2 linked regions of the Arabidopsis thaliana genome follow. The protein of the gene in region 2 binds, or shares a complex with, the protein of the main gene of each other region. Each region holds a gene or a part of one and is shown on either strand. Other genes may lie near its edges. The genes, in order: AT5G13430 and AT3G52730. A codon is read from its position in the direction of its gene.

Region 1 (5,088 bases), on a different chromosome or scaffold from region 2:
CTTACAATTTATCCAAATGTTAAAACAATAAATAGTTATATACTAGATAACAAATTTATTTAATTTAGATAAATGTGATTTTTTACATCAGATGGTTTTAATAAACTTTCTCTAATGTATGATTAATCAGTCTGAAATTAGAAAACAATGAATAAAATAATAAGAGATAGAGCGGTGTCTTATGATAAACACGAGAGGTTGCTTAGTGAGGACCTTTGGCTTGTAATTAGTGTGTAATGGCCGTTGTTAGTTTGCAAGGGTCGGAGAAGTCACTTCCCATATCCCAAAAGGAAAACAACTTACAAGAGATAAGTCACTTCCCATATAGTTCATGGCCGTTGTTGGTGACCAAAACAAACAAGATTTTAACATTTTCATCTCCCACAATGGTTTTTACCCAAATCAAACTTTGGCTTTTGTGTGTCAAACATTTTTTCTTAACTAAAAAAGATTAAACAGAATAAAATATTATGTTTTTGTGTTCTTAGCCAATCTAGAAAAAATCTAGCTATGCCACTTTTGGATGATTGAATATTCATTCACGGGATGTCTTACGAATACAGTTTGAACTTATTCGGTTATCTTCCTGTAAACTATCAATCAAAGCTGATATATTACCTTTTGTTGTTTGTTTCTACGTTGGTTTTTCTCATACCTTTAGTTTTTCTTTTATGAACGTTGAGATACTATCGAAACTCAAATGTAAATACAACTTTTTAATTGGAATGACGATGTTTAGAATTATGAGATACGAAAGGAATCTCACTCATACATAGGACAAATAGGCATGTTAAATAATAAACACAGACTATGAACATAGTCGTCTTTTACTAGCGATGGATAAACGAAGATTGAGTATACTTCAAACAAAAATCACAAGTTTGTATTATTCAGCAAAAACAAGTCAATCTTGCTCTAACATGCCGGAAAATATTAATTAAAAGAAAAAAAGAACAAGTGAAGATCATCATTCAGATCCAGACTCTTGACTGTTGTGCTTTTATTAATCAACCGATGAGTAACTTATTCTCTTCCAGGAAGCTGTAGGTTGGTACTTCCAGGTTGTATGGTGCAGGACCTTTCCTAATTCTTCCAGATATATCGTAATGTGATCCGTGACACGGACAAAACCAACCACCATAATCACCAGCATTAGGCAAGGGGATGCACCCCAAATGAGTGCACACTCCAACAACCACTAACCATTCTGGATTCTTGACCCTAACCGAGTCTTCTTGTGGGTCCCTCAGGGATCCAACATCCACACTATTGGCCAGCTTGATGTCATCTTCTGTTCTTCGCCTGATGAAGACGGGCTTTCCACGCCACTTGACTGTCACGGTAGTTCCTGGTTCTATGCTCCCTAGGTCAACCTCAAGGGATGCAAGGGCAAGGACATCTTTACTTGCAGACATGCTCACAATAAGCTTCAAAACAAGCAGGCGGAGGACAGAGGCATAAACAAACCTCCCACCCGACAAGACAAAATAGGCGAATGCACGCTTGCTAGGGTCACCAGGTGGGTAACGCTCATGGTTATGGTCATCATAGACAATCTTTGAGTTAGGCGTTTTGACAGCTTCGACTGTGGCTGGGACTTCTGAACCAAAACCTATCTCATTTCCTTGAGCAAGGACTTGAGAAGAGAAGCCTGAAAATAGCATGAAACATTAATATTTCACATCAAAGGCAAACTTTATACTTGGTCAAGTGTTCTACAAGAATAAGAATAAGCCACAGGACTACCACAATCAAGATGTGACCATTGATGTATAATCTTCTAAGGAAAAACAAAAGTACATAAAACGGATTCCATGAAGTATGAGATCCATCCAAACAATTCAAACCATCGTATCAAACTCGGGGAGTGGAAACTTAAATACGATAATCTCCATAAAAAAAACAAGAGAACAAATTCAATGATCAACATGGAAACAGAAGAACAAAAAATTGGAATCTAGAAGCCAATGTGAATCACACTATGGATAACGCATTCCAATGATTTACAAGCAAGGAGCTTTAGTCATCAACCAAAGAATTACATCTAAACAGGTCAATCCATAATCCATCAATAAACTCAAATGTTCATTTCCTTCTGGACGAAAGAATGAATCAGAGAAGCCAAGTATACCAAATTCATCCAAACAAATCAATAATAACAAATTCAGTGAAACCTTAAATACTAAAACCAACGTAATAAACCAAGAGAAAAAAATATATTGATCAGATGCTGTATATTACAGAAACGCTTAAAACACAACAAAATTTCCAATGCTAAGAACAAACAAAGCTCTTTGGTTAAGAAAACATAAATTTCAGAATGCAAGTTCCTCAGCATGCCTTTAAACAGCTATAAATCCTACAAACATAGTATACAGTTAAAACATCCATGTCCCTAACAATGAAGAACTCAAAAGGATTGATACACAAGATCAAATTTCAAAAACCAAGAAGCCAGTGGTGAATCATACTATGATTAACGCACCGAAAAGAGGAAACTTTCCTAGTAAAACAAAGGATTATCTCAGAACTGAACAATCCACACGAAAGAAGTAATCATCAAATGCAATACAAATCCAGCAAGGAGAAGAATGTAGCCAAATGGTACATCAAGCTCATGGAATTCAAATCAGATGACACGTTTGTTCCCACGGATCATTGCAGATACAATACTAGAAATCTCAATCATTCCCGTGAATCATACAACCAAAAAAAGAAGACCTTTTCAAAAATCAATCAATCAAATAAAACTGCAAAGAACCACCGAAAATGAAAAATCAATGTAGAGAGAGAGGGAAAGGGTTATAAATCGGCAAACCTCTGATAAGGCTACGGTGGTAAGATGAGAGATCTGCAGAGGGGAGGGATCTGGGAGCTGAAGAGGAGTCGCCGCCACCATCGGAAAGGGTATGGTCACGGGAGACGACGAAGGAGGTCGCAGTCGAAGATCTCTGCGAGACAGAGAAAAGCCTCCTCCCTGCTACACGCAGCATCTCTCAGCTCAAATGTGAATCTAGGGTTTCGCTCTAGCTGAACAGAGAAATCCTCAGGTTTGGGACGGCCGATGCAAAACAAAACATAAGAGACTACTTACTAGTAAGTCCCTTAAAAATTGTCTTTGAGAAAAGGTCAATTTGTTTTGTTTTTTTTGGTTTTTGCGTATTACTTGATATTTTTTTACTTCAGGATTTTGATGGCATGGTTTTTTTTCTAATTTTAATTAATAAAATCTTTTGGTTTTACGATATAATTTTTTTGTGTGTGTGTATTTGTAAGATAAATTATTTTATTTGTATAAAAATCGTAATTTTTAATAATAATAATAGGGGGTCTATACTTGGTAAAGGATATATTTTGTTGTTGTAATGTTTAAACAAGATTTCCAACAAAAAGACTGTTTTACATCTGTGTGAACTTTTCAATACTAGAAGAAAGAGCTAGAAGGACATCATCAAAGAAGTAGTCATCGATGAAAACAATCTGAACAAGAAAATTAGGCTAAGATCCACAACCAGAATATGACATCTTTCATCAAAGTAGTAGTCTCGAGGTTCACAATTGGATTTCTCACTATGGAAGAGAAGGTTTATGGCTTAGTTGAGAATTGAAGGTCTTCGAAATGTCGTCTCCAGTAAGAACACGAAAGTTTTATAACACACCTTGAACCTTACCAAGTTTTTGTCTCAATTGTGATAATGGCTACAGACTTTAAGGAAAGGAAACTCTCTTACAAACGATATGTTACAAAATTACAAACATAAGAAAAATAGGGATGATACTATTCAAAACTCTTTTCAAATAATAAACAGAGACTATGAAGTATGAACAATGTATTTTCACCAGATGAGACAGATACTAAGTCATACAATGACAAGTTTGTATTATTCAGCAAAACAAGCCAATTTTTGCTGAGCCCAAAGTGTGAGGAAAGCGAACTTGCACGCTAAAATGCCGGAAAATATAAAAACAAAAACAGATTTAAGATCATCCAGACCATGACACTCGGACTGTTGTGCTTTATTCATTAACCAATGAGTAATTTATTCTCTTCCAAGAAGCTGTAGGTCGGTACTTCCAGGTTGTATGGTGCAGGACCTTTCCTAATTCTTCCAGATATATCGTAATGTGATCCGTGACACGGACAAAACCAACCACCATAATCACCAGCATTAGGCAAGGGGATGCACCCCAAATGAGTGCATACTCCAACCACGATCAACCATTCTGGATTCTTGACTCTAACCGAGTCTTCTTGTGGGTCCCTCAGGGATCCAACATCCACACTATTGGCCAGCTTGATGTCATCTTCTGTTCTTCGCCTGATGAAGACGGGCTTTCCACGCCACTTGACTGTCACGGTAGTTCCTGGTTCTATGCTCCCTAGGTCAACCTCGAGGGATGCAAGGGCAAGGACATCTTTACTTGCAGACATGCTCACAATAAGCTTCAGAACAAGCAGGCGGAGAACAGAGGCATAAACAAACCTTCCACCCGACAAGACAAAATAGGCGAATGCCCGCTTGCTAGGGTCACCAGGTGGGTAACGCTCATGGTTATGGTCGTCATAGACAATCTTTGAGTTAGGTGTTTTGACAGCTTCGACTGTGGCTGGGACTTCCGAACCAAAACCTATCTCATTTCCCTGAGTAATGACTTGAGAAGCAAAACCTGAAAATAGCATGAAACATTAATATTTCACATCAAGGGCAAACTTTATACTTGGTCAAGTGTTCAACAACACCAAGTATTAAGCAAAAATATTTTCAAGAGATAACACAGAAGAAAGGAATAACACTAGCAAACATTTAACATTAATGCATAGAATAACATAAGATTATAAAAACGGATTCCAAGAGATAACAGAAGGTGTCATCCAAACAATTTTCTACCATGATATCAAATTCAGTGAAAACTAAACTAATCTATCTAACGCAAGATCCAAGGAAGGAACTTCAATGATCATAAATGCTTAAAACATAAGAAAACTCCTAAGATAAGATTGCAAACATAGCCCTTTTGGTTAAAGATATGGAATTCCAGATTCGTTTACTGATGCAAGTATCTTATATGATGTGCCCAAAGACGATA
Region 2 (4,149 bases):
TCATTTAGAGAAATGAAAAAAAAAAAAAAAAGAGAGGCAATTCTCAGAAAACGTAAAAGAAAAAGTGAAACATGTGATGTGATGATCAGGTAGGGGCGCAGAACATAACATAACGTCTCAAGACAAAATGTTTTCGGAATATTCATTTGTCCATATTCCGACTCCGCGAACATCACATTTGCGCTTCCTACTACGATTTCTAAATCTCTTGTCGCAACAAACAAAATGCATTATGCGAATCTATGGATGGATAATTCCATTTGAAAGATATGTATTGATTGGTTTGCACGATGTTGATCGTCTCTACATGCATGGCCTTTCGAAAGTAGTGGTGCAAGTTATGTGATTTATGATAAAAGAGATCGTCAAAATCTAATCTTGAACTTTTGCCCCACAGCTTAGTGGAAGTCTTTCAGCTATGTGCACGAAATCGAACCAATGTGGTTTTGTCGGTTTAATTCCCACTTAATTCTGTAAATTCAAGAACGATGATGCTCTATCGACAGTGACTTCTCTGGTTATTCTTCAAAGAATTCGTATAATCATTAATCTTCTTTCTTTTTTGGGATCCAACATTTGAGTAAACTGATTGAAAAATCCTTCCAAATTTGACCCTTGGCAAACAAATGGAAATCTCCATGATTACTATTTCTCGAAGATGGATGAAATTAGACCTCAGAATATGGGCACTGCATATTAAAGCGACGCTTCAAGAACCCAAAAGTGAAGAAAAGGACGATTCACAAATGGGCGTTTTAATGGACTTGCTTTTAATAAGGGACAAATACTTGTAATGCCAAATGACGATTTATGATAATGTTATCATATTCCACAATGCAAAAATTCAAGTAATCAGAACCAGATAGCTTTAGGTGAAATATGAATCATCCCAATGATTTTATATTTATTCAACAAAGAAAGAGAGACGTTGGAATGCAAAACAACATGGAAATTTCCAATTCTTGCTTTTGGTCTGAAGAGAATTCAAAAAGAAGAAAGCTCATTCCTCTACTGGCCTTTGACCCAACACAGAGATGTCTTCATATCGTTTCTGCGCCATGACAAGAAAATCATTGTGAATACGAATATAACCATTCTCTTTCAGACTTTCACAGATACTCACACAAGGCAGAAAAATCAGGATGTCGAAGGTAGAGGGGGAACTATACACATTCCAATAGAAGCTAGAAAAGGTGAATCAGGCATCAATAGATTTTCGAAAAGCATTCACCTATTAGCTAATAACACTAACAACAAGCAGAGATTACAGAAGATGATTACGACGATGACATGAAACCAAAGAAGTGTGTGTAGAAAAATGTGATCATTCCATATCTCAAGATGGGCAATAAAGAGAATGAAGAAACAGTTATTACCATCTAGACTCTCTAGTTCAAATGACAGACAAACATTAACATCACCAATACTAAACATTTCCGAAACAAAATGCAGAACTTCGAATCAAAAGAGTAACAAAAAAATCATTCATCGTCAACATATTTAGGCATCAGATTGCATAAAACATGATTCAGAATACAAGAAAATAAACATACCCCAACATTGTTGCGTTCCCAGAGCTTATGAACACCGTAATCCACAGCCTGCAACCACAGATTTTAACATTTCATGAAAACTCCATTGTCTGTTCATGTAAACCTCTTCACATATAAGACCCCAAAAAAAACAACTTATCACCAGATTCTTCTCACAAAAACTATAATCTCCAGCTCTCTATTGTAGATTGATTAACCTCTCCAACGAAATTTCTTCACTAAGATTATCATTTGACAACACCAAAATCCCCAATTTCGTTCCAATCAAACCATACACACAAAAACCAGATCCGGTACAATACGAACCCTAATAAGCTATAACACAACCAAAAAGGCTCTGATCTCTTACCCGTTCACCGAAAAATGCGCCGGCGATGATGAAAGTGACGTAGACGGAATTACGGCGCATGATAAGTTTGTAAAAGCCTTCGAAAGCGCCTTTCTGATTTCTCCGAGCAGCGTACTCCATGATTGATTGGTTGTTTTCAGGTATCTGATCTCTCTACGTATTTTAGGGTTAGAGAAAGCGATCTACGACAATGGCGAGAGCGAAGAAGAGAGACGATGAGATTTTTCGCAACTAATCAGAAATGATTCTCTTTTGACTAGTTCGTATCTAGAAAGGCCATTTGGGCCTCAATAGTTCGGCCTCGTAGCCCATTTATTTTAACGGACCCAGTACGGCCCTAAATGTTAAGCCCATTTTGACACCCCTAACATTAGCAGAACAATCTGAGTTTTGGTTTGTCCCAAATCCCCAAAGAAATTCAGGCCCAAAATAATTTATTCGAATAAGTAGTTTTGATTGGGTATTTGAATATTTTTTTGAATGTTTGTATATTTTGGAGAAGTATATATTCCTATTATAAGATTTTTTTATTTTTTTTGCTAAGAAATATTATAAGATGTTATTCGAGAATGAGTATATATCCCTGTTCATTGAAATAAGACATCAAATCTCTTTTATCTATATTCAAAGGATTTTCTTGATACAAAGAAGGAAATCAAATTCTAGCAAAGAAAAATTAAAGGTATGATTTTTCTTTAACAAATCTACAAATTCTTTGGTTTGATATGAAGGAAAGATATGATCATCAGAAAACAGTGATTTTGTTTAAAGCTCGTTATATATGATTGGATTCATATGAGAATTCAAGTATGTAAGCGAGTATAACTCAGTCTTGTTTAAATTATTTTCATATTGAAATTATGTGGAGAGAAAATCATATGCAAATAAGTTAGAAAATCATGGATCCACATAATTCCAATTTGAAAGTGATGAGCTCTATTCAGTTATAGACTTGAAGTCTTGTAATCTCTTATGAATCTAATCATAGCGAGCTTTAGGTAATATCACAGTTTTCTATGATCATACCTTTACTTTAAATCATTCCAAAGTATTTGTGGATCTTCCACACTCACGTACTCATTCTTGGGGGATTTTCATGGAGGTAATGTCAAATGAATTCATAGCTTTCGATTTCTCTTTGCTTTGAGTTTGATTTTTTTTTTCTGATTGTATTAGGAAAATCTTTTAAATCTAGAGAAAGGAGAAAAGAGATAGAAGATTTCATGTTTTATTCTGATGAATAAGGGTTTTTTAAATATGAGTTCAAAGAAAGGGTTTTACTTGGTGACAAAGTAAAATTTGGAGTATAAACACTTCTAAAAGATGGACTTTATAATGGACATTCATCTATTATTAATAACAATGTTATGTATAGTGGGGTTTTTTAACGGGCAAACATCTTTTGGGTATTTGAGTAATTTACATATCTAAAATCATATTTCACGAGCAAGTATTTTAAAATACTTTGACTTAGGTATTTTGGTACCCATAAGCAATTTTTCACATAAGAACTCAAATATGTGTGTGAACTGAAAGTAATAACTAACCAAGGTCGTCGTTTCTAGATTCCTAAGTAAATAACTAATCAAGATTTCTTTTCAATAAGTCCGCTCTGATCTCTTTAATCGCGTTGTTACATAGTTACATGTCTAACTCATGGCACAGAGAGAGATGCCAAATAAAAGGGATAAATGTTGAATTGGACTTATAAGAAGCTAAGAACATGATTGGGCATGTTTGGGCACATGCAAAAGGAGCATTAGGAAAACGGGCAAATGTCACATTCACAATTTGATATTCTGAAGAAAGAAAAACTGCTGATTCAAAATCTTGAGGTTTTTAACAAAAGAATCCAAAAGAGCGAACCATATTCTAAAATTTAGAGCGGACACATTGCAAATATTGAACTTTGAGAATGAGGATATTCGCTTCCCTTCAGATTTATGAACTACAAATATGTATATTTATACTTATATACATTACTCAAATCTTACTTTCCTTATATCTGAAAAATGCAATAAAATTTCTAGTACTGATTATAATTTCTATTCGAATTTTTTCTTTTTAATTTTAGTTTTGATATCTTTCTAAACTTTTAAAAATTTTCCTTAAAACTTTTTCTAGATATCTATCTTTTCCCTGGAATATTAGATATTCTGATAGTTGTAGAGTATAGATGATATGGACGGATCGAATCAAAAGTATTAAAAAACAAAATCACAAAATCCGTTCTACACTAACAGAACA

The links.
Region 1: the proteins of AT3G52730 (region 2) and AT5G13430 are in contact, whole or in part, in a cryo-EM structure (PDB 8BEL), measured with the Arabidopsis thaliana proteins. Residues at the interface, in NP_190841.1 of Arabidopsis thaliana: Phe13, Glu14, Phe16, Tyr17, Met21, Tyr27, Phe30, Ile31, Gly34, Ala35, Glu39; in NP_568288.1 of Arabidopsis thaliana: Arg109 (codon at 1,502), Ala110 (codon at 1,499), Phe111 (codon at 1,496), Tyr113 (codon at 1,490), Phe114 (codon at 1,487), Leu116 (codon at 1,481), Ser117 (codon at 1,478), Arg120 (codon at 1,469), Phe121 (codon at 1,466), Ala124 (codon at 1,457), Ser125 (codon at 1,454), Arg128 (codon at 1,445).

Annotation. Positions count from the first base shown.
Region 1 is NC_003076.8:4,304,407-4,309,494, forward strand, and holds AT5G13430 (Ubiquinol-cytochrome C reductase iron-sulfur subunit), read right to left. Parts: upstream 3,165-5,088; 5' UTR 2,994-3,164; coding exon 2,819-2,993; intron 1,652-2,818; coding exon 1,008-1,651; 3' UTR 700-1,007; downstream 1-699. Other genes in the region: AT5G13440 (Ubiquinol-cytochrome C reductase iron-sulfur subunit), read right to left, coding at 4,025-4,668. UniProt on the Arabidopsis thaliana protein: Component of the ubiquinol-cytochrome c oxidoreductase, a multisubunit transmembrane complex that is part of the mitochondrial electron transport chain which drives oxidative phosphorylation.
Region 2 is NC_003074.8:19,542,146-19,546,294, forward strand, and holds AT3G52730 (ubiquinol-cytochrome C reductase UQCRX/QCR9-like family protein), read right to left. Parts: upstream 2,166-4,149; 5' UTR 2,023-2,165; coding exon 1,903-2,022; intron 1,602-1,902; coding exon 1,482-1,601; 3' UTR 1,124-1,481; intron 1,052-1,123; coding exon of another isoform or gene 1,001-1,051; 3' UTR 674-1,000; downstream 1-673. UniProt on the Arabidopsis thaliana protein: Component of the ubiquinol-cytochrome c oxidoreductase, a multisubunit transmembrane complex that is part of the mitochondrial electron transport chain which drives oxidative phosphorylation.